Linked DNA regions of Astyanax mexicanus. The protein of the gene in region 1 interacts with the protein of each later gene in a pairwise test. Links are inferred from orthologs where the notes say so. Each region holds a gene or a part of one and is shown in the gene's direction. Other genes may lie near its edges. The genes, in order: fez1, pam16 and pdcd7.

Region 1 (7,745 bases):
ATGAAGGACTAGAGGATGACCAACACAAACTGGGACTGAGCCTTTTTTGTCTCCCACTCCTCCATGCAGAATTCTTTCAGCTCCATGATGTTTAAGGGGTTTCCTGGATGCACATCCTATTTTTGTCAACTTATAACCATGAAGATATGTTCTGTAAATTTACAAATACATTTGTAGAATCTCTGCTAATCAATCAATGGAAAAGGACCACTGAAATAGAATCTCTACTACATCTGACCATTTTGAGCATCAGTGAAACCAACATGGCAGTGCCATGTTCATGGATATGAATGTTCCAAACTGCAGTATGGATTCATGTCACTGTAAGCCCATAGCTTGCACCATAGTGGAACTATCACACTACACTATCACAGGCCTCTCTGTACACACATGACGTCACGCTCTCTATGTGAAGCTATTACACACAGTGGAGAAAAAGGTTTTTCAATGAGAACCACAGCAACCGTATCAAGAGCAATGCTCAGTTGTGCTGCCAGTTTCCTATAGCAACGGGGCCTCTCAGACTCTTTTACACCATGGAGGGGGCTGTGTGTGTGTGTGTGTGTGTGTGTGTGTGTGTGTGTTGGAAAGGGGGTGGAGGAGCTGTCCTTATTGAGGAAAAATCAGGTCGTTCCAGTTTGTCCTTGAGTAGAAGCTTACTGGTTTATCCCACTCACATCCTTATTACAGATCATGCGACGAGGGCGGAAATTTAAACTGAGGAAATGATGATCTCCGAGAAGCAGTTTTTACACAGAGGGTTTCGCTTCACCATGTCTGCTTGGATGTCAGATTTAAGAAGGATGTGTGCGGATTGGGTCATAACAATTTGCATGTTCAATATATTTGCGTTTAAATGCAGTATAATTAGATATCTATAACATGGTTAGATGTGGTTGTTGAGGTTGCGATGAGAGATGGATGGATGATGTCATTGATGGAAATAAGCTTAGCTAAAAGTTTCTCATACGGAATCAGTGGTGTGTATGTGTGTGTGTTTGGGGGGCAGGGTAAATAAGGAAAACCAGGTTTTTGCGTGATAGGTATTTATTTAAATTGTATTTATTTTTATATTTTATTGAGTTTATTAGAAACAGACCAATAAAATGCACCAGAATAATTAATAATAACAACCGTAGTAATAACAAATATTATTATTATTATTATTATTATTATTATTATTATTATTATTATTGTTATATTTCTTTATTGTATGTGCTTTATAAATATTTATAAAGCACAATTTATTTATTGTTTTACAAATTATTTAATAATATATTGTTAGAGTTAATATACTGAATATATTTTAATATTTTAGGTATTTACATTTTATAAACTACATGAAATATATACACATAAATAAAATATATAACATTTTTTAAAAAGGTTTATTTTGGAAAGCACTGTCATTTTTTGTATATAATTAAAGCAAATGGAACTGCTAATTGTTTCAGATTATTAACTAATTTATTAATGAATTCACTAATTATATTGGTAATTATTACTAATTACTAATAGAACTGGTAGAGTTTATTTTATTTGAGGCCTCAAAATGGTTAAAAATCATGATCCTAAAAAAGAAAATGCAACTTTTTAATTAATTACATTATTTCATTAGCTTTTTCTTCTATTAGTATTAGTTTGTTTGAACCAACACCCACTATTCAGAAAAAGACCTTTTTAAACCTAGTTCTCTAGGAGATATTTGCACAATTTGTCTGAAATAAATATTGCCGTGATTTGCATAAAATCCCACTACACTACTATAAATAATCAAGACTCTACATAGAGTGACTCAGTAATGTGTATCATCCTTTGATGTTTCACTGCTATTAAGGAGCTCACCAGTGTATCTCATCCTCCTTTCTTCCTCAGCTGCTACGCTCACTGTGGTGTGAGTGTGAATTTGAGAAAGCTTTGTCTATAATCTGCTAGATCAGATGCTAATCCGCCACATATGCACGACTGTCAACAGCCTGAACACAGCACCACGTGGGCTGCCCCACGGTTACATGATTGCAGTTCTATTCAGGCTTGGGAGAAAGTGAGTGTGTGTGTGTGTGTGTGTGTTTTCTCTGTGCTTGTGTGTCTGTCTGACCGTCTGTCTCTATCACTGTCTGAGTGAATGTGTGTGTGTGTGTGTACATGGTGCTTTTTAAAGCGTGAAGCTCAGATTAAGCCCAGTCAGGGATTAGGGCCATGCAGGAGATGTGGCGTCACCGTTGTGTGTATGTGTATGTGTGTGTGTGTGTGTGTGTGTGTGTGTGTGTAAGAGAGAGAGAGAGAGAGAGAGAGAGAGAGAGAGAGAGAGAGAGAGAGACAGAGAGAGAGTGAGTGTAGAATGTGATTTGATAGCTGGTCTAAATGTGTATGTCCTCTTGCTCCATTAATTCATATTACCATGGTCCTCCAATTACATATACTGCATCTGTGACTATATTTATAGTGTTTCATTTGAATGCAAAATAACATGGTTGTAAATATGCTTTTTTATTACAGTGCACAGATTTTTAAATAGGCTTGTTTAATTGCATCTAAGCATCTACACTCTGAATGGGGTAGTTAAAGAATGACATAGAGAACCCCAAACGCAAGATAAACAAATCAAAAATGTTTCTGTTCTGTTTTTAAATATTCATAAAACTTCTTTATTATCATTGTGGCAATTACATTGTTGTTTTCTTATTTAAAGCAGTTGTGATCTATGTGGTATATAAAAAAATCTTCAGAAAACATATGGAAGTCATTAGTGATAATGAGGCTTGCTTTGTTTCTGTCCCTAGGACTGCTTATTTGAGTTTAAATTACCAGTATGTATTGATACTGTTAGCAGTGGGAGACACGTAAGTAAGTATATCTTTGTCTAGGGACGCACCAAAATATATTTTTTGTGAAACCGAAACCAAAGAAGATTTTGATAAGATTAGCTCTTTTGTTCACAGTACATACACTTTGTAGTCTAAATGCATTTTTGTCTTGCTTTTCAAAGAAAAAATATTTGCAAAACTATAGTTTTGAAATATTTGCTAAACACTTAACAGTGCTATTCTTATTATTTATGTATTTAATTAATTCAGCTACAAAGTGCCATTCTAATCATTTTAATTCTAATTTACGTAAGCAGTGCGATGTTAGTCGTAAATTTACCAGAAAAATGTAGGAAGCTCAACCAGCCCTGTACACTATTCTCTTACTCGCTAAACATATTTTAAAACAATATTTGCTGCATTCTTACTTTTTCCTGTCTTTTCCACAGCTGTCTACAGACATTAAGACTGATCGGTACAAAGTACACAGCACAAAGTCTCCTTTTGCACATTGTTACAATACATGTTGGTATCCCCATGGGGTTGAAAACAAAGTAGGCCATATGAATCTGCCTTTAATAAGCCATCCACTGCAGAAGAACCATCTAGAGCCTATATATTTGCACCTTTATAAGACATGTAATAAGTCAAAATGCTTTGTTTTGGTTTATAAAATGATTGCTTAACTGAATTTAAATTTCAATATTAATTCCAATAATAATTCTACTATAAGCAGTGGGAGACTCTTTAGTAAGTATATCTGCTTTGATATATTTTTCCTATGGATCTTCTTTTTTTGTCTTGTTGTCAAAGAAACAGCACTTGCAAAATACAATTTTAAATATTTATTAAATTAAAGTACTAAGTATTTGATTTTAGCCATGCTATCCTAATCATTGATGTATTTCATTCATTTAGCTATATCAAGTGCTTTTCTAGTCATAAATTTACCACAGCAGTGCAATGCTAGTCATAAATTTACCACAGCAGTACTACTTAAGGCACATGTGAGTAAATATACACAAAGGCATTCAGTGTTATGGTAAACATAGAGCCAAACATGTTTTGCCACATATTTTGTGTATCCCTTCTTTTAACTGTCTTTTCCACTGCTGTCAGAGAGAGAAACTGATTCAGAAACTGAAGTGGTCTGTTGTACTGTACATGTCTCTACAAGTATGGCTAGCAATATTGACAGCAGTGGAAAAGTGGCAATAATGGGGTCCAAGCACCAGCCCAGCACATATAGTACACAGAGAGTGACAAAGGAGGCAGCAGGAGCAAGGTATGAATGAATGAAGCCTCCCTCACAGCATCCCTCCATTCTCTCATGAATATGGAGGCTGTACACACTGTGCCAGACGGAGAGAAGGAAAGAGGGAGAGAGAGAGATAAAGGGAGGGAGAGAGAGGGGGGTAAGGGGGTGTGGCTTGAATGAGTGATGTGAATGATGAGGTAGATGAGGAGAGCGCGGAAGGAGGAGGGACTGGAGGGGGCGGTGATTCCGTAGTGATGCGCAGGCTCGGTGAGGAGGCTGCTGCTGCTGCTTATTGATCAAAAGACAAGCGGCTGCTTCAGGCTGAGGAACAGAGCGAGCCAGTCAGGCAGGGCAGGAAAAGCGAGGGATATTTATAGAGATAAAGAAAGATAGAGAAATAGAAAGAGGGAGAGAAATGAAAGTGTCTGCCATCATATCCTGCTGCATGATGGTGGTGTGGTTCTGACCTGCTTGGACTAAGGAGGGGCTCTCTCTCTATCCTGCTACACAACAAGGAAAGACTCTACTGAAGGTAAAACAATGTGTCTCTTTCTCTTTCTCTCTGCCCTTCATCTCCAATCCCCCATTGTTTTCCCTCCATCTCATCCTCCTCCTACTCTCCCTCCTGCTCCTGCTCCTCCAGGGAACGTCTAACCTTGATCTTTCATTCTCCATCCCTCCTCTGTTATCTATCCGTTCATCTATCTGTTCTCTCTATCCATCTTTCCATTGTTTCCATTCCTCCTCCTCTTTCACCTTTCCTATCATTATCTCCATCACTTTCCCTGTGTAAACAGTTTCTCTCTAAGCCCTTAGAGACCTATATCAGGAAATAGCTAATATTTATCTATACGTTTATTTGTAATATTCCTATAATTAACAGTGTTTTATCACTGTCTATGATTTGTATTTAATTTTGTTGACTATAAATTAATAAAACTATTCAGCTCCTTCAGTTCCTACAGCTCCTCACTCAGTATCTAGCAGGGTTGATATATGGTGGCTTGGTTTCTCTCACTCATGTTTTTTTACAGTCATCTCGTGCCGCCATATTTTCTCCTCAGCTCGACGCTCACGGCCTGTTAGCATCATTATGATGCTAATGTTGTATTAAGCAGGTGAAACCAGCTACATTAAATATTTACAAAGCAGGAGTATATCCCTCCCAATAGATATATTTTGAATGAGACATGTAGATATTATTGTAATATTATAATACATATAATACAATATATATTAAATATAGTATCTAAATCTGTATAGTATCTTATAAAGTAAAGGTTATATTGTGTAAAGGTAATATAAGAATACGTACAATAACAAAATATAACGTAAATTTAAAATATAAGAACACATTCTTCTAAATGCTATTAATATAAAGTATATTTCTCACTAAATATGCAGTATTTACATGGGGTTATAATAATAAGCAATTTTAACAATTACATTTAAGGGTTTGAAAGATTTGAATGTATGTTCATGGGAGTGTATATTTGTGTATATACTCTACAGCAGATTGCCTTTATACATACAGCTTGAAACAAAATGATGCATGAAAACTGTGATTTAAAAAACAGGGTTATTCCATGAAATATTGATTTCCGAACTCTTAAACCTTTATGAATATGAACTTGTTTTCTTTGCATTATTTAAGGTCTGAAAGCTCTGCATCTTTTTAGTCATTTCAGCCATTTCTCATTTTCTGCAAATAAATGATCTAAATGACAAAATTTTATTTGGAATTTATTTGGAGAAATGCTGTCTGTAGTTTATAGAATAAAATAATGTTTATTTTACTTAAACATATACCTATAAATAGCAAAATCAGAAAAACTGATTCAGAAACTGAAGTGGTCTCTTAATTTTTTTCCAAAGCTGTATGTGTATGTAATCTACAGCATATCCTTTTGAAGAGCAATGAACTGCTAATTATTACAATTATTTAGACATTAGATTTGAATTTATATATATTTAAATATCCTAAATAAATAAAAGTCAGCATACCTGCTCATTCTTGTTAATGTTCATTCTTACGATTGTCTAATATAAAGTGGATTGCCCTGACACATGGGCTACACTTATATAGATATTAGAGTCCTCACAGATTGTAGATCATTTAGATAACTGTAATAACATTATGCTGCAATGATTTAAAACATTTCATTGCTGTCACACAAAACCTTCTCAATTTCATGGTGACTGGACCAATAGAAATAGTCTAGTAATAACTTGGAATTAAGCCTTTTTACACAAACATTCATTGAAGGTAAAGCAGAAAGAAGAGTTTTTCCCTCTCATGTAAAGTTTCAGGTTTGTTATGTGTATGGCACTTGGATTATGTTGTAGGCGAGATTTGGAATTGATCATGTTTTCCACAATTGTATATACTCTATGGAAAGTGTTCAGTGATTTAGTTTTCCAGTCATGACGTTTGAGTTCCATCGATTTCTCTCATCAACGTTCTATTTACAATCCAGCACAATTCTGCCACCAGGCCCCCCCCACCCTTCCCCCTCTGGCAGAGTAAATCAGGGCCTTGCCTCCGGGTCACTGCACTGCATGACTTCAGCTTGTTGTCCTGACTATTGATTTGAGTTTTAATATAGCCTTGTTTGGTATTTTTGACAGCATTTGGCTTCAGGCATGGAAGTAGAGACACAGAAACCCTGTGTGGAAGTCAAAAGCTCAACTTTAATGTATCTTACACACACACACACACACACACACACACACACACACTGTGCTACAATAAAACAGTAAAGCATTAGAGGCATGGCACTTTGCTGAGTAATGCTCTGCAGAGGGAAAGGCTTATGTCAGGCCCGTTTAAATGGATTTTGATCCAATTGTCTTTGTCCTAGCGATGTTAAGTTTCCACACACCCTTCGAGGCTTATTCATGGAGATAAAAAACAGGATCCGTTTCTGTCAAAGTTTGCTGGAAAATAATAGTGTCATGAAAGTTTGGGAAATTTACTAAATTTACCCAAATATACACCTGAACAGTAAGAATATTTACTTATTTACGTACGTAAGCTCAACATGGTTTCACAATGTACCATTCACTCCCCAGTCTAAAAGTCTGAAGACACTAAACAGTTTGAAATATATATATACAAAAAATAGTTTTAAAAAATCCCAAAACCAATTAGAAACAATACAGCACTGTGAATAAGAAAATAGATCATTTACTACAACTCTATGCAGAGGTTTTATGCACCTAAACACATTATTTTTGGTTATTTATCTCAGCAGTCAGAGTCTGTGTTTGTGTACAGGAAAACGCAACACAAAATTCTCATCTTTAAGAAATTGCTAGTTGTATAATGCTTGGTTCCAGATCTCTCCTGGATGCCCACAGCCAGCGCCCAAAGTGGATATGATCAATTCCATAACAAGCTCACCTGATTTATCAAACCAGGTGTTGAATAATAACTATAAATAATATTAGACCAGAGGGAAGCCATGGCAAACTTAAAAGAACACAGTGACAAATCAGAAATCACCAAAGTTTGGTTTTCATGTTTTTGTATTTATTCTAATGTTAGTGTTTTACTGAACAAATTAAACATATTGCCCTGGTAAGGAGCTTTTTAATTCTAATTTTCAATAGTGTCTTAAACTTTTGTACTAGATGCTCAGTAAAAAAAGAAAAACAACAGCCCTTTTCAATATTTACAG
Region 2 (8,443 bases), on another chromosome or scaffold:
CTAACAGATACAATATCTAGAACCTTCTGTAAAGGGTTCTATTAAATAAAAGGGTTCTCTCTCTCAGTAATCAGTTTTAACAGTATTGTATGTGATCAGTGCAGCTGCCAATCATCTTGCCAATGATGTTTATCACCTAATGCTGTTACTGTTATTACTAATAATAATACAGGAGGATACTGATCATTTAGTTAATAGCACTTCTTAGTGTTTTACACTTCATGTTATTAATAAATAGGGAATTATTACTGGAAGTCTTGTTCTGAATGTGATGAGCATCAGTGTTTTGTATCTTGTCTCTGATTGATCTTTGGGATGTCTCAGTTTTTTGATTGATGGTGATTTTTATACTGTGGAGATAAGTGATAACTGCATTACTGTACCCTCTCCTCTGTACTGTGGGAATGTTGCCTTGCAATAAAACAAAAATTACTAAACAAATTACGTCTGGAGTGTTTAATGTATTTGTTTAAATAATATATATATATATATATATATATATATATTAATCATATATCATTTTGTTTGTTAAAATGACTTTAACTGCTTGTTTAATTACAGTTTATTATAAAAGTCATTTCTATTTTTCTATTCTATATGGTTCACTCAGTGTCTTTTTCTATTTCTTTATTTAATGTATTTTCTACATTGTAGATTAATAATATTAAAGACGTGAAAACAGTTAAGGTACACATATAGAATTACGTAGCAAACAGTAAAAAATAAAATAAAATAAAAGTGTTATTCCTCCACATTAATCCCCTGATCTAAATCTGATGAACTGAGATGGTGATTTGAGGTGATTTAATTGTGATGAGCTGGAGCTTCACAGCGTGAAGGAAAAGCAGCAGCTATTGTTCAGCACCTCCAGGAACTCCTTCCTTCAAGACGCTGAGAAAACTATTCCAGGTGACTCTCCCTCATGAAGATACTGAGATTAAAATCTCACCAAGATTCTGCAGATCTGTCCTCAAAGATACATGTGATACTTATTTAAAATAATCTAAAGTATAAAACTATAATAATCTGGGTTTTTTTAACACTTTTTCTTTCCAGAATAATTCTGAATGTTTTTCTTGTATAGCTTTAATATAGTCTTCAATATTAAATTTACAATGTAAAACTAAATCATAAAAAGATACAAAACACATTGAATAAAATAAATTATACTGTATTTTTCTTCTGGCAATGTTTATGCATTAAAACATTATTAATCTGAAATTTGTAATATTTTTTACATAAATTAATTATATAACCAATTTTGGACCATATTTTTTGCTATAATTCACTTTTTATAGTCCTTATTATATTATATAATATTAGCTTTCTTTAGCTATATTTGATTTTTTTTTAAATGTTCAAAAAGTAGATCACTTTTTAATATTTTTATATTAATTAATTATTATATGGATTAAATCTTATAAATAACCCTCACTCTTTTCTTTCTTTCTCTCTCTCTCTTTCTCTCTCTCGAATATTTCCATCTTCATATTCTGGTTTGTTTTACACTTTTTGTTTATTAAATAATTCTGCATTTGTTCCTGTATAGATTTAATATAGTCTTTAAATAAATTTACAATGAACTCTGGGTTCAGTTCACTTACTTTGACTCGGGGGACTCTGAAGGCCACAGGCTCTGGCTCACATCTCTCACATCACACTCCACCTTCAGCAAGAGGCTCAGACCCTGATCACGACTTAATTATCTTGTTCCCACGCCTTAAAAAAGAATGGAAACATATATGATTAACAACCAGTGTTGGGCACGTTACTTTGAAAACGTAATTAGTTACTAGTTACTTCTTCAAAAAAGTTACTAACTGAGTTACTCCACTATAAAAGTAACTATTGCATTACTTTTGTGTTCCTCGTCCCCGTAAGCCCCTTGTAGTTAAATATAATTGAGTTTATTTTACCCCCGTTTATTTCAACGCCATTATTCCCATCACTGTTATCAACAAATATGAACACTGTAGTTTACTGTATTGTAGTGCCAGTATCTCACACTGTAGTGCAGTCTGTTTTAACTGTGGTATAGGGGTGTGTCATTATATTGTACAAATCAAACTTTTTTTTTTACCATTTAAACTCTTCAGGTCCAGTGAGCCTGAAATGGTAAAAAAATCCATTGAACTTAAATTGTATAAAAGCAGCTTCCATGTGACTCCAAAATGAATGGGTTCATATGGAACAATTGAGCAAAATCAGACTTTATAAATGTTTGATTATTTTTGGTTAGTGTCCCGTTTATCAGTTAAATTTTCAGACCATTTAAGGCTAAACTTAAAAATAGAAAATTAGATGTAAAACTTCATTATTCATTTTTTTTTCCATTTGGTGTTGCATGTTTTTTTCCCTGTTTTCATTGCTGCCCCAAACAAAATAAATACATTTAATTAAAACAAAGAAAAAAAGAACTCTTATTTTCAATTTTTTAAGTTGGTTGGATTAAATTATTAGATATTTTTTCGTAAAATTCTGATTGTGAGGGGAAGAAGAGAAGTTTAGAACATTAAAAAATTTAAAATTAATGTTTCATTCACTAAAAAATGAGGTTTTCCACTGAAAATTCTATTTTCAAGTTTGAACTATCAAAAAAATACTTAACTGAAACAGTACAGTTTCCATATTTATTTTGAAAATGTTAAAATTTACTAAACACACAAAATAATATCAAATGTGTCAGAACTGCAGGCAATGTTTTTAACTTTTAAAAAAAAAGTGCAGCTATAAGCCTTGTAATAAACCCAGCGCTCTGGCTTTAACTCCACTAATCAGCCAATCAGATCACAGTAGCATTACTGCTAGCGCATTTACTGCCTAAATCGTGTTTACTGTAGAGAAATTAAAACATACAGGTGAGGTTTCTTTAAGTTTTTAGTTAAATATTATAATCTATTTTCTAATATTAAAGTAATATCATGAATATGTAGTCAGACACTATTTTTAATGTGTATTTTTAGCCGTTTAGCCCCATTTACACCCATTCATTTTGGACTCACTCGCGGGCTCCCTCTAGCGGTTAGCAGTAATTTACTTATATAAAGGGGGAAATAAAAAGTGGATAGTCTCTATATAAACAGCTCTGGTTGAGCACTGGGTGTAAATCAACCCACAGAAACTGGAATAAATGCGCAGTGCTTTAATAAATTGTATGGTTCTGTAAATAAATGTATACAGAACTAGCTTAGTGGAATATATAAAATAAAGGTTACAGCACAGTCAGCAGTGTTGTGCCAGTTCACACTTAAAACAAACTAGTCAGTTTAGTTCCTATTATTTAAAATTGACTAGTTCACTTTAATTTGGTTCGTTTCCCTCTTAATATATAGATACGTAGGCTATTATTTTCCATCACCAGCCCAAATAACAGTAGTATAAAAAATTATACAAAATAAATATATTTCCATAAAACCACACTAATTTATATACTAAAAATTGCTCATTTACTCAATACAGATCAATATAAAATGTTTCTTTACTGCAGACATATTATTTAACCTTTCAAACTCCAGTTATAAAGCTTTTTAAAAAAAAACATGCTATGGGTGAAACTACGCTATTAGCTCACCAACCAATCAGATCACAGTAGCAGTAATGCTAGCGCCTTTACTACATAAAATCAGTTTACTATAGAAAAACTCTATCATATATAGGTACGTTATGATAGTTTTTAGCAACATACTTTATTCTACTTTCTAAAATGAAAGGAAAATCCTGCAGATTTAGTTAAACACTATTTTAAAGTGTGTTTTTAGCCGTTTAGCTCCATTGACTCCTATTCATTGAGGACTCACTCGGGAGCTCCCTCTAGCGGTTAGCCGTCAGCAATACGCTACCAAACATACACAAATTAACAGTTGTCACCCTCAGGTGGACAAACAAAGAACTAAGACCCACTTATATAAATGTTTAGCCTTCAAACATCATTTAAACATTTCTCAAACATTTCTCAAACATTAAACATCAAGAAAATGATAAATATTACTTACGTATGACCGCACGCACTCCAAATCAAATGAGCGGCTAAAAAGCTAGGTAATAACCCGAGCACTAGAGAATCTGTCTGGCTAGAGGTACAGGTGATTGCACCTACAGAGCTAATTAATTCTCTACCTTCTGATTGGGTGAGAGTTATTGAGCAAGATGATAGGTAGAATCGTTAAGGGGGCATGGTGTGAATTATACAATGAGAAATAATTGTGGGTGTTTATACAATGTTAAACGCATACAAAGCTTTTAGTTTATTCTTCACAACTTTTCCTTCCACCTTAAATCTCATTGATCTGTAGTAGATGTTCTATGAATTTTAAACATTTTTGCTTATGTTGTGCCGATATGATAAACGACCCACCTAACTTTTCTGGATTTGAATTGTTGTGTTCCACCTTAAAAGCCTAAAAACGCATCTAAACCCTGAAGTGTGTCGGCACACAGGTGCAACGGTAAATCAGCAGCATTTAAGGTGGAATCTTTAAATAGGAAGCAGAATTTATGGCGCAATGTTAAATTAGCAGCATTTAAGGCGGGATAGCAAACTGACAGCATTAAACAGGGAATGGTAAATTGCCAGCATTTAAGGTGGCATGGTAAATTAGTAGCATTTTAGGCGGAAAAGCAAACTGGCAGCATTTAAGGCGGAATGGCAGATTAGCAGCATTTGAGGTGGAATGGTAAATGAGCAGCATTTAAGGTGGAGTGGTAAATTAGGATTTGAGCAGCCTTTAAGACGGATGGGCAACTTGGCAACCTTTAAGGGGGCATGGTAAATTAGCAGCTTTTTAGTTGCAATGGTAAATTGGATGCATTTAAGGTGGAGTTGTAAATTAGCAGCATTTAGGGTGGAATGGAAAAAACAGCAGCATTTAGGTAAATGGCAACATTTAAGGTGGAATTGTAAAAAAAATCAGCATTTAAGGTGGATTAGCAGCATTTAAGGTGGAATGGTAAATTAGCAATTTAGTGGTGTAAAAAGCTGCAGTGTGCGGTACTGAACAGTAGGGGGGTGTAGTGCTGTAAAGCGCTGAGGGGTAAACTTGGCTCTTCTTCTGTGGTTGGTGTGTTTCTTCACCTTGATGGAAGCGCGTGTGATGATAATAATAATATAACTGAGAATCTGATCATATTTCTAATTTTCAGGAGAAGCGCGAGGCTCAGATATGGTGAGTATTAACGATATTACATCATAATTACACACTGCTTCAGTTTAATCAGGATATAAATACACAGAAACGGGTTAATCTGCTGTCCTGCAGTCATTTTCTGCTGAACTACAGGATTATATCAGACCTTTAATCATCATTACACTGATTATTTACTCATTTATCTGATCAATATTGCTGTTTTAGTGTAGAAATATACTTTAAGACACTATAGTATTAATTTTAACAGCCTGAATGTGTCATATATATTAGAAAACTCCTGGTTTAATGTAGGAAAATGTACTACAATAGGTGAAGTCTGATTTTCTAGATAAGCACACGTTTCTAGAAGTAAATAAAATATATAAATATATAGTTACAAATCTTATATAAAGAGTTATTTCAGCAAAAGGTTATGGATACACTGCCTGTTGTTTGAGAGACTGTTTTACCATAGTTTTAAGAAGGTTTTAGTTTTTAGTTCTGATGAACATGTTCTTAAAATCAAATATCATTAAAATGTTGAACTAGTAATTATAATGATAGTCCCCAAAGACACAGTATGTGTTCAGGCTCGTCCACACATATCTAGATATGTTTAAAATCAATATAAACACAGGTGTCACAGGTGATTACAGCAGCTCACCTTAACTGTTTGAACTGTTTGAGCTAAAGCTGAAATAGAGGAAAGTCCTGCACTTAATATTATTATTATTAGAGTTGAAGTGTAATTTTAACTCTTTCAGATTTAAATATAGTTCAGTGTTGGAGTTATTTGACATTTTTGAGGTACATATATCAGTGTTAACCCAAATAAACCCAATAAATACTGCTCAACCTCACAGAGATTTAATTTAATTCATTTTTTTATAATGGGTAAGTTTTTTTTACAACATTATATATCATGTTATATACAGCTCTGGAAAAAATAAGAGAGCACTTCAGTTTCTGAATCAGTTGAATTCTGAATCTCTGATTTTGCTATTTATAGGTATATGTTTGAGAGACATTGTTGTTTTATTCTATAAACTACAGACAACAAGAGCATTTATTTGCAGAAAATGAGAAATGGCTGTTCATATTCATATGTTTTAAGAGTTCAGAAATCAATATTTGGTGCAATAACCCTGTTTTTTTAACCACAGTTTTCATGCATCTTGGCATCATGTTCTTCTCCTCCACCAGTCTTACACACTGCTTTTGGATAACTTTATGCTGCTTTACTCCTGGTGCAAAAATTCAAGCAGTTCAGTTTGGTTTGATGGCTTGTGATCATCCATCTTGCTTTTGGTTTTTAATTTGGAAAATCAAAGAAACGTATCAGTTTTAAGTGGTCTGTTAATTGTTTTATCCAGAGCTGTATAAAGCAATGGCTTCTGAGTTTAAGTGTGATTTACTACAGCAATAATAAATGAGTAAATGTGTGTGTGATGGCTTACAGTTAAAACCTTTTGACTGTTGGAGTATTTAAATATTTGTTTGTATTTGATTTTGCAGCTAAAAGCAATATTTTACCTGTGTTTTTGTGACTGATTGTTTTGTATGCAGGCAAAGTACCTGGCCCAGATTATAGTGGTGGGTGCGCAGGTGGTGGGCCGGGCATTTGCGAGAGCTTTACGTCAGGAATTTGCAGGTGAGCTCCAAACTGCTTGGCAATAAAATTTAACCCCGACTATTTTTTCTGCGTCAAACAGCTGCAGTCTCTTACTGAAGGCAAAATACTTTATTTATTTTATTTGGGTGGCATTTCCCCTTTCTAATTAATGAAAAGATGTTGAAAATATCAAGAACATCAATGTATTACTTTGTTTGGACTATTTTATTTTATGTTGACTTTACCAAGTAAACTTTTGATCAAAATATGGTCAAATATGTATGTTCTGTTTTTAAGCATTTGAAAAAGGGCTGGTATATTTTATTATTACCATTATTATTATTATTATTATTATTATTAAGACTTCTGAATGCAATTGGTTGCCCTGGATATTAATTGAATACTTTTGCACGTCACATTTTTCAGATTTTTATTTCATAAAAAGGTAAACCGTGTATAATTTTTGTTTCATTTCACACATATGTGCCTCTTTGTGTTTGTCTACCACTTAAAATCTCAATAAAATACATTTAAGTTTGTGGTTGTAAGGTGACAAAATGTGAAAAAGTTCAAGAGGTATGAATACTTTTACAAACCACTGCATAAACAAGCAAGGTATACATGTTTTTATGTAAATAAGGTGTATGAATCTAGCCTATCAGGATTCTTTAACTACTAAATCATATATAAACATTATTAAACATGTGCACTGTGTCACAGCGAGTCAGGCTGCAGCAGAAGCCCGAGGGAAGGCGGGGGCGCAGTCGGCCGCAGCGTCCAGCTTCACCGGGATGACCGTCCAGGAAGCCCAGCAGATCCTGAACATCTCCACGCTGACCCCGGAGGAGATCCAGAAGGTAAAAACACTGTAAACACACTGATACACACATGTGCTCTTCATACACACATTTTTATTAGTGTACTAAAGTCAGATCATCTTTCATATTCTCTACAGAATTACGAGCACTTATTTAAAGTGAACGACAAAGAAGTGGGAGGCTCGTTCTATCTGCAGTCCAAGGTGAGCATCATCATCATCATTATTATCATTATGATTATGAGATACACAGATCAGCATAACATTATGACCATTTGAACATTTGGAACGTTTAACTACAGATTCAGAGCTTCTGTCTCTGACTTTACTTTATCTACAAGATGGAGCAGCTGTAGTAGGTAGGAGTGTGTAATAGAAAGGAGGACAGTGAGTGATTAAACACAGTGTTTAAAAACTCCAGCAGCACTGCTGTACCAGAGCAACACACACTTACACCTCATACACCACTATCAGCAATTGCATTCCTTTAGTAACCATAGTAGAAAAAGGTTGAATCTGATTACCCCTTTAAAAAGTTACTTTATGTAGTTACTTTATTGATTACTTGACTTTTAAAAAAGTAATTAAGTTTGATTACAAGTTACTTTATTAGATACATTCATTACATTCCCTCAGTTCTGCCAAAACTCACTTGCTCTGTAAGTTTTTCTGTGCTGTGCTGCAACTTTTTGAAGATAGATCACCAGCACAGAGTGAACAACCTTCATATTGTCATTTTTATGTATAGATAAAATACATTAAAAAAAAAAAAATCTAATTTTACTGTCTGTATGTGTAATTGTACTGTCGTTTAGTGGTTTTACACGTGAGTTTATCTCATGCTGAAAACATGACTTACAGTAATTGTTGCATAGGAAAGATGTTGCTCCT
Region 3 (8,642 bases), on another chromosome or scaffold:
CAGGTGTGAGTGTTTAAACACTTGACACTTTTATGATCATGGTATATATATATATATATATATATATATATATATATATATATATATATATATATATATATATACAGTTGTGGTCAAAAGTTTACATACACTTGTAAAAAAACATAATGTTATGGCTGTCTTGAGTTTTCAATAAGTTCTACAACTCTTATTTTTCTGTGATAGAGTGATCGGAACACATACATGTTTGTCACAAAAAACAGTCATAAAATTTGGTTCTTTCATAAATTTATTATGGGTCTGCTGAAAATGTCACCAAATCTGCTGGGTCAAAAATATACATACAGCAACATTAGTATTTGGTTACATGTCCCTTGGCCATTTTCACGGCAACTAGGCGCTTTTGGTAGCCATCCACAAGCTCCTGGCAAGCTTCAGGTCGAATGTTTGACCACTCTTCTTGACAGAATTGGTGCAGTTCAGCTAAATGTGATGGTTTTCTTGCATGAACCCGTTTCTTTAGCACTGTCCACATGTTCTCAATGGGGTTTAAGTCAGGACTTTGGGAAGGCCATTCTAAAACCTTAATTCTAGCCTGGTTTAGCCATTCCTTTACCACTTTTGATGTGTGTTTTGGGTCATTGTCTTGTTGGAACACCCAACTGCGCCCAAGACCCAACCTTCGGGCTGATGGTTTTAAGTTTTCCTGCAGAATTTGGAGGTAATCCTCCTTCTTCATTATCCCATTTACTTTCTGCAAAGAACCAGTTCCACTGGCAGCAAAACATCCCCAGAGCATAATACTACCACCACCATGCTTGACAGTAGGCATGGTGTTCCTGGGATTAAAGGCCTCACCTTTTCTCCTCCAAACATATTGCTGGGTGTTGTGGCCAAACAGCTCAATTTTTGTTTCGTCTGACCAGAGAACTTTTATCTTTGTCCATGTGATCAGCAGCAAACTTCAGCCGAGTCTTAAGGTGCCTTTTCTGGAGCAAGGGCTTCTTTCTTGCACGGCAGCCTCTCAGTCCATGGCGATGTAAAACACGCTTGACTGTGGAGACTGACACCTGTGTTCCATCAGCTTCCAAATCCTTGCAGACCTGCTTCTTGGTGATTCTTGGTTGACTCTTGACCATCCTGACCAATCTCCTCTCGGCAGCATGTGATAGCTTGCGTTTTCTTCCTGATCGTGGCAGTGACACAACTGTTCCATGCACTTTATACTTGCGTATAATTGTCTGCACAGTTGCTCTTGGGACCTGTAGCTGCTTTGAAATGGCTCCAAGTGACTTCCCTGACTTGTTCAAGTCAATAATTCGCTTTTTCAGATCCACACTGAGTTCCTTTGACTTTCCCATTGTAGCTTTTGTAGCTGAGTCTAATCACTGGGTCAAATGAGCCCTATTTAAATGGGCTCATGAGAAGTCAACAGCTGTAGTCAATCAGAATCACTTACAAGAAGTGAAGAGGCCATGACATGAAGCTAATTTGATTGACACAACTCGCTACATCACCAAAATTGACAAATTTTGTTGCTGTATGTATATTTTTGACCCAGCAGATTTGGTGACATTTTCAGCAGACCCATAATAAATTTATGAAAGAACCAAATTTTATGACTGTTTTTTGTGACAAACATGTATGTGTTCCGATCACTCTATCACAGAAAAATAAGAGTTGTAGAACTTATTGAAAACTCAAGACAGCCATAACATTATGTTTTTTTACAAGTGTATGTAAACTTTTGACCACAACTGTATATATATAAATAAAGATTTTCTTTGCAAGTTTTGCAATTTTAGAGATACAAGAGCTTTGTGTGAAAGGAGCAATTTATTTAGGTGACTGTGGACAATTTGGTTGATTTTGTGTTTATTTTCCTTTCTGATTTGAATTATAATAAGATTATTATATACATTTTATTTTACATTTCAATTATTAACATGTTGGTGTATTAATATTTAAAATGTTGTGTGTATATTTTGCAGAGCACCAGCAAAAGAAGCAGCAGAGGAGGAATATGACTCTGGAATGGAGGAAGAGAACTGGACCAGGCAGGTTGATGCAGCCAAGAATTAAAACCAGCCAACAAAAAAACTTCTTATTTAAGCTCCAAATGATGAATAATTTTTTTATTTCAGTTTATTAAGTAAGTAATGATTCACCATGGGTCCATTTACACACATACATGTACACACTGATGTATGTAGCCCTGAATGATCTGTACTAATGACTGATTCACCTGTAAGTCACAGTGTGGAGTTTTCACTTATCCTGAATTATACTTATGGACAAATGATTTAGACGAAAAACATGTTTAAACCAAATGTAATCTATGAACTATGCCTCCCAGTGAGTGACTGTTAATAGTGAATGTAAAAAAATATTTTATTCCTTTATAAACATATGTTTAGATTTTTATGAGCTGTTTGCTTTCATTGGTTTGAATGGAGATAAGAGGATAAAGATCACATCTTCCTCTTTGTTATAATGTTGAATAACCGTTTTCTTTTTCTGCTCAGAGTGTTATAATATAAAAAAAAGTTCTGGACACAATGTTCCACTCTACAGTGTAAATCTGTTGAGATTTATCCACTGAGGTACTTGTTTTGTTTCATTATACTCCTTTAGCTTTTACTTGACAGGGAAACTCCTCATGAAATCTGAGTGAGCATATTTGTGACACACCGGAAGTAGTTCTTAACAAAACAACTTTGTAATAGAGTTTTATAGTCCTCTATTTATCTGCTGCTGTCTGTATTACCCTTCATGCTGCATTAGTTTTGTGCATGGGTTTGTTTGTCTTTTAATGGACTGGTTTAGAACAATAACTGTTCCAGAACGCTGCTGATTGGTTGGTCCTTAAGGAGCTTAAACATGAGCATAGTCTTGTTACTCTAACCTGTTAGACCAAGGTTCTTCAGATCTGGTCTTGGAGGGCTGATACACTGATGTCCAGTCCTGCTCAAACACACCTACTAACACTGGCAGATAAAAGACGAGTAGAATGAGGGATATCACAAACCATACTGGACCCTCCTGAAATGGAATTATAAGCTGCTGCATTAGCTAGATTTCCCATCAGTATTCTTTGAGAATTCCTCCAATTACGCACCTTGTATCTCTCGCTGCTCACATTTTCCTCTTTCACATTGCATGTTGTGTAATTCACATCCCACTTTTGTGAATTACACAACACTCATCTCTCCTTCTGACTGGGAAACCTTCTCTTAAGATATGTTTTTAATAGGTGTAGCTTTTTCTGTGTAGACTGATTTTCTGTGTATACGCACCATCATGGATTGTCTGAGTCAGATTGGTTTATTTTAAACCTCTGATAACATTCAAGAACAGAAAGAACAGATCAAACTGATTAAAAACCTCTTCAAAAAAACCTGCACAGATTCTGTAGTAAGATGAAACCAAGATAAGCTTGAGTAGGAAGAAGCACAAGATAGGTTGAAGTCAAACATGGTGGAGGCACTGTTTTTGAATGTGTTCAAATGGACTGACAAATTGTGACAGACTTTTTAAAGAACTTCAACTATTTTACAGCTGGGATCATGTGTACAGATTTTTCAGAAAAATCTTTGATCTAGGATCACCTCCCATTTTTGCTCTAATCATTATGATAATTACTAAAGCTGCACAATATATTGTTTGCTAATTGTGTACTTTCAATACATAATATAATACAATATCAGCAATTTGGTTATTATGTGCAGCCTGGTGGTGATCTTTTTTGTTTCAGAATTAATTAAATCAGTTATGTTACAGAACTGATTTTGATTTATTGGTCCTAGATCAACGTATTTATTCTGGGATGTTAAGCAGACAGATCCCATTCCTCTGTTCTTTTGTAGGCTTTCTTGTAAAATGATATGGGTTAATAAAGCTGTCCTTAACTCTCTGGCTTTGGATTCATTTATTCCACAATGTTCTTTTATTAATCAAATATCACTTGCGCTTAATGAGTACATTAATAGTGCACCAGACAATAAAGGCAATGGGTAGTTTTGGAGAATAAAGAAGCAAGGGTAAAAAGGCTAAGGGCTACAGCAGGCTGACTGGGTAGGACACCATTCGAAAAATGCATCCATGGAGGTACGGATATCTGAGAGGACAGCAGAGATCCCACCTGACACGGAAGTTAAGGGAGTCTCCCACATTTAAATAGGGGCCGCCTGCCCCCCACAAATTATATACAATATTTTATTGAGCAAGCAAGTTAAGAAGACACATACACATTGATTAAAGAGGCATTAAACCTAAAATCATTTTTTTCATTAGTAGCTGAAACGTGTTCCTTTAAAGTTGTGAAAATGTTTAGAAACATTTCATAAACTTAAACTGAGGATGATGTGTCTGCATACTTTGGTTCACAGACACTCACAATATGCAAATCAGTCTATCCCCTGGTGAAGTTCAACTTCTGAGTCTCAAAGCTATCAGAGGCACACAGCTCACCCCAATCAGATTTTAATTCTGCACCACCCCTAAACCCATACATCACCCAGTGCCCCTCCCAAATTACTCCTCACATTTTTTTATTTTTTCAAATATGAGCTGAGGGTGGAGTCAGCTAAAATCAGGGGGATTAGTTACCCTTTATTAGCGTGACAATAGATCATCCTGATTGGCATCCCTTGTTGCACAGTTACCACTAAGGTTTCTGTGTGGGGGGGTTTGCAGTTTGGCTTGATCTAGCACGAAACGAGAGAGTGGGATTGCAAAACACACAGAAAATGAAAAAAATAAACACATTTTACCTCATTATTTTGAGATGATAATGTATTGTTTGGAGATATTTTCCCAAAATTTGGAAATTATTTCTTAATATTTTGAAAAATGAATTGCAGTCATTATTTAATTACATTTTTGCATTTATTATTTTCAGATGTTCAGATTTAGTTTATTCAATTGATAAAATGCTATGTAATTTATTTGCAATTATCTTCTAATATTCTAAAATTAATATTTTTTTTTTTTTTTTTGATGGTGATTTTTCCTTTTTTTCTAAGTGGTGTGTGCATGGCCTTTCATGATTTAACAGGTAAACCCCATCTATGTTCAAAAACCTGTTCCCTTAATTTAATAAATCTCTTTCTAAATATAGCTAACTTAATTTTAAAAAATTTAATATTATTTAAAAGTTACTTTATTTCAGTAATTCAGTTCAAAAGGTGAAACTCACATATAGATGTATTACACACAGTACATCTATATAATATACGAGAAATAATTTATTATGATGATACTATGACCAAACTATGATTGATTAATTAAAACTTTTCAATATATTTCAATATATTTGTTTGAGATGGTATTTTCTAGCTTGATACTTAGCTAGCTTAAATGGCTAAAGACATACAGTCGGTTTGAAACACTACATTTAAATGTCTGTTGTTGGCGCCCTTTCTTTCAAGTGCCCTAGATCTAGTGCACTCACTCCGTTTGGAACACACCCAAACAGCCATAGAGCGGAAGTGACCAGCATTAGCGCTACATCCGGTTAGCGGGGAGCAGCGGTGAGAAACTGTTTAGCTGTTTAGTTAACTGGCCGGGTTACTGTTTATCTGTTACAGTAAAACACAGCGGCTGCATTCATTCAGGACTCGCAGGAAACATGAACAACCTCCCGCCGTACTCTGCGGAGCCGCCGGGAGCGGCAGAGGGCCGCGGGTACGGCAGCAGAGGCGGGTACGGTGTCGGAGCGCCGCCCGGCTCCGTCCCTCCACCCCCGACGCCGCCGTGGCCCGGACAGCACGGACAGCCCGGACAGCCCGGGCCGTACAGCCAGTGGCCGCCGTTCCAGCCCCCGCCGTTCTCTCACCCTCCACTTTTCGACCCCAGCAGGCCTCCTCCAGGCTTCTTCGGCGAGCAGCAGAACGCGCTGTGGCCTCCTCCGGCCAGCAGGGGGCAGCAAGCGCATGTAGGTACTGATAGGGGCAGCTTTGATCAAGGGGGCCCTTTTACAAATTTTGGACCACCACCAATCCCAACACCATGTCCACCAGTGCACCAGCCCAGGTTTCACCAACTCAACCCACCAGCCAGTCCAAGCTTCACTCCAGACTACCATAAACCACATCCCAGCTCCTTTCCTCACCATATCAACAACCCCCCAGAAGGCCACTGGTCAGGGGATGGGCAGAATAATGGAAACAGAACCACCACTACCACATCCACCACGTCCATGTTGCAGGTGACCCCTGACGCAGACACCACACAGCGGATTCAGGACGAGCAGTGGGTTAAAGGTTTCCTGCAGAGAAGAAGAAGGAGCAAGCCAGCAGCATCAGCCGCAGAAGCAGCTCAGCATCCCCCCAAACAGTCTGTTTCAGATTTCAGACACAAGCTCTACAGCACAGTCCACATGCTCTCAGAGCTCACCCTGCTCTGCCAAACCCTCAAAAACAACCTGGAGAACCAGGGCGTGTGGACCGAGGCCTACTCCCGAGCCGGAGAGCTGAAGAGCAGCCTGCAGGAGAGGCTGGCAGGCCTGCAGGACAGAGAGGTCATCAGCAGGGTCAAGAAGAACCTGGAGCTGATCAAGAAGAAGCGAGCTTGCATGCGCAGGAGAAGAGCGGAGAGGATGGAGGAGAAGCAGGAGGAGGAGAGGAGGGCTGCGGAGAGGGAGGCAGCTATGGACAAGTTCCAGCTGAAGCAGATACAAGAGTTGGAGGAGAAGAACAGGGTGAGTTGAGGGGTCATTAGGGGCCTGAGGAGGTGCCGTGGCTTTGGGTCATGTGAGGTGTTGGGTGGTGTATCATCAGGTGTACAGTTTTTCTCCAGATAACTACGTTTTACTCCAAACGTAGTCATCTGACAGCTACCAGTTTTGCGCTGGGTCCAAATATTTGTGGACACCCTTTATGTAAATGCAGTCAGCTGCTTTAAGTTGCACCCACAGCAGCTGACACAAATGTGCAAAAGACACACATTCACAGCTTGCCTTGTCCTTGTATAGAATTACCCCCAGTAGTATAGGACTCTGTGGCTCATGCTAGGCCTGTAACGATAAGAACGTTCTGTGGATGAAATATATAGATATATAGAAGTTATTGCGATAAATTATACAATTGTCATTTTAGGACCTTTAAATGACACTGACATAATGATAATAGAATAGCACAACAAAGCAGTTATACCATTTTAAAGACAACTTTAATTTATCGTAGTTTAGGAAATAATTGCATGACTGGCTAAAATACTGTCAAAAATTTGAATATAATTGGAAAGTTACTTCATATCAGTAATTTAGTTCAAAATGTGAAACTCATATATTATATAGATGAATTAAACACAGAGTGATCTATTTTAAGCATTTATTTATTTTATTGTGGCTGATTGTGGCTTTCAGCTAATAAAAACCCTGGAAAAGTCCTGCTGGAAAATGAAAGGCACATTTCCATAAAAGTCGTCAGCAGAGGGAAGCAGGAAGTGCTGTAAGATTTTGTGGGAAAACACTGCACTGACTTTAGACTTAATAAAAAACAGTGGACCAACACCAGCAGATGACATGTCTCTCCAAACTATCACTGATTGTAGAAACTTCACATGGGATTTAAATGCACAGAAGCTGTTTAAATGTGGAAAGTGCTTGAAGTTGGTGAACACATTTGTAATATTTTGTGTTTTGGCACTTTTGAAGACATGGACTAATTTGAGTGTATACTGAGTTGATTGTTATTTAAATTGATTGATTAATTTACAAGTGTTTTCTCATTTAGGAGCGTGAGCTGAAACTGGCTGCAGACGCTGTGCTGTCCGAGGTGAGGAAGAAACAGGCAGATTCTAAGCGAATGCTGGACATTCTCAAGGCTCTGGAAAAGCTAAGGAAACTTCGCAAAGAGGCAGCATCCAGGAAAGGTGACCAACGGATTCTTTATGCATTTAATTAGTCAAATGTTACCAATTTGGTCAGTTGACTTTATTATGTATCTTTGCATTTGTACACAGTACAACAAGTAGAGAAACAATTTAATGACTGGTCAAATAAAACAGTGAGATACACTACAGTACCAGCCAAAAGTTTGGACACACCTCTTCTCCTGATTTTTTTTTTTTACATTGTGCATTTTATATTGAAGTCGTTAAAGCTATGCAGGAACATGTGGGATTATTTTGTAAACAAAAAGTGTTAAACAAACCAGAATATGTTTTTTATTTTAGATTCTTCTAAGTAGCACATTTTTTTTATCTTTGAGGACAGATCTGCACACTCTTGGTAAGATTGGTAAGATTTTAATCTCAGTGTCTTCATGAGGGAGAGTCACCTGGAATTGTTTTCTCAGCGTCTTGAAGGAAGCTCCAGCTCTTCCCAATTAAATCACCTCAAATCACCATCTCAGATCACCAGGTTTAGATCAGGGGATTAATGCGGAGGACAAACACTTTTTACTGTTTACTACATAATTCTATGTGTGTCCCTTAATTGTTTGTATGTCTTTAATATTAATCTACAATGTAGAAAATAAATTAAATAAAGAAATAAAAATAAAAAACACTAATGATAAAGTGTGTCCAAACCTTAGGCTACTACTGCATATGTCCACATGTTTGTAGACAAATCTCTTCAAATAAATGCCATTTGCTGCTTTCTGTTGCACCAATTGCTGACACAGATGTACAAGTGTGCAAACACAGCGTGTCTAGTT

What was found.
Region 2: the proteins of fez1 (region 1) and pam16 interact in a two-hybrid assay, tested with the Homo sapiens proteins (2 studies listed by BioGRID and IntAct). The link is inferred for Astyanax mexicanus from reciprocal best matches to the Homo sapiens genes FEZ1 and PAM16.
Region 3: the proteins of fez1 (region 1) and pdcd7 interact in a two-hybrid assay, tested with the Homo sapiens proteins (2 studies listed by BioGRID and IntAct). The link is inferred for Astyanax mexicanus from reciprocal best matches to the Homo sapiens genes FEZ1 and PDCD7.

What each region holds. Positions count from the first base shown.
Region 1 is NC_064427.1:33,816,877-33,824,621, forward strand, and holds the start of fez1 (fasciculation and elongation protein zeta-1), read left to right. Parts: upstream 1-4,313; 5' UTR 4,314-4,597; intron 4,598-7,745. UniProt on the Homo sapiens protein: May be involved in axonal outgrowth as component of the network of molecules that regulate cellular morphology and axon guidance machinery.
Region 2 is NC_064426.1:40,098,518-40,106,960, reverse strand, and holds the start of pam16 (mitochondrial import inner membrane translocase subunit tim16), read left to right. Parts: upstream 1-5,016; 5' UTR 5,017-5,159; coding exon 5,160-5,162; intron 5,163-6,689; coding exon 6,690-6,774; intron 6,775-7,455; coding exon 7,456-7,592; intron 7,593-7,690; coding exon 7,691-7,756; intron 7,757-8,443. UniProt on the Homo sapiens protein: Regulates ATP-dependent protein translocation into the mitochondrial matrix. Inhibits DNAJC19 stimulation of HSPA9/Mortalin ATPase activity.
Region 3 is NC_064423.1:9,379,847-9,388,488, reverse strand, and holds the start of pdcd7 (programmed cell death protein 7), read left to right. Parts: upstream 1-5,472; 5' UTR 5,473-5,608; coding exon 5,609-6,679; intron 6,680-7,715; coding exon 7,716-7,854; intron 7,855-8,642. Other genes in the region: clpxa (caseinolytic mitochondrial matrix peptidase chaperone subunit Xa), read left to right, coding at 1,971-2,061. UniProt on the Homo sapiens protein: Promotes apoptosis when overexpressed.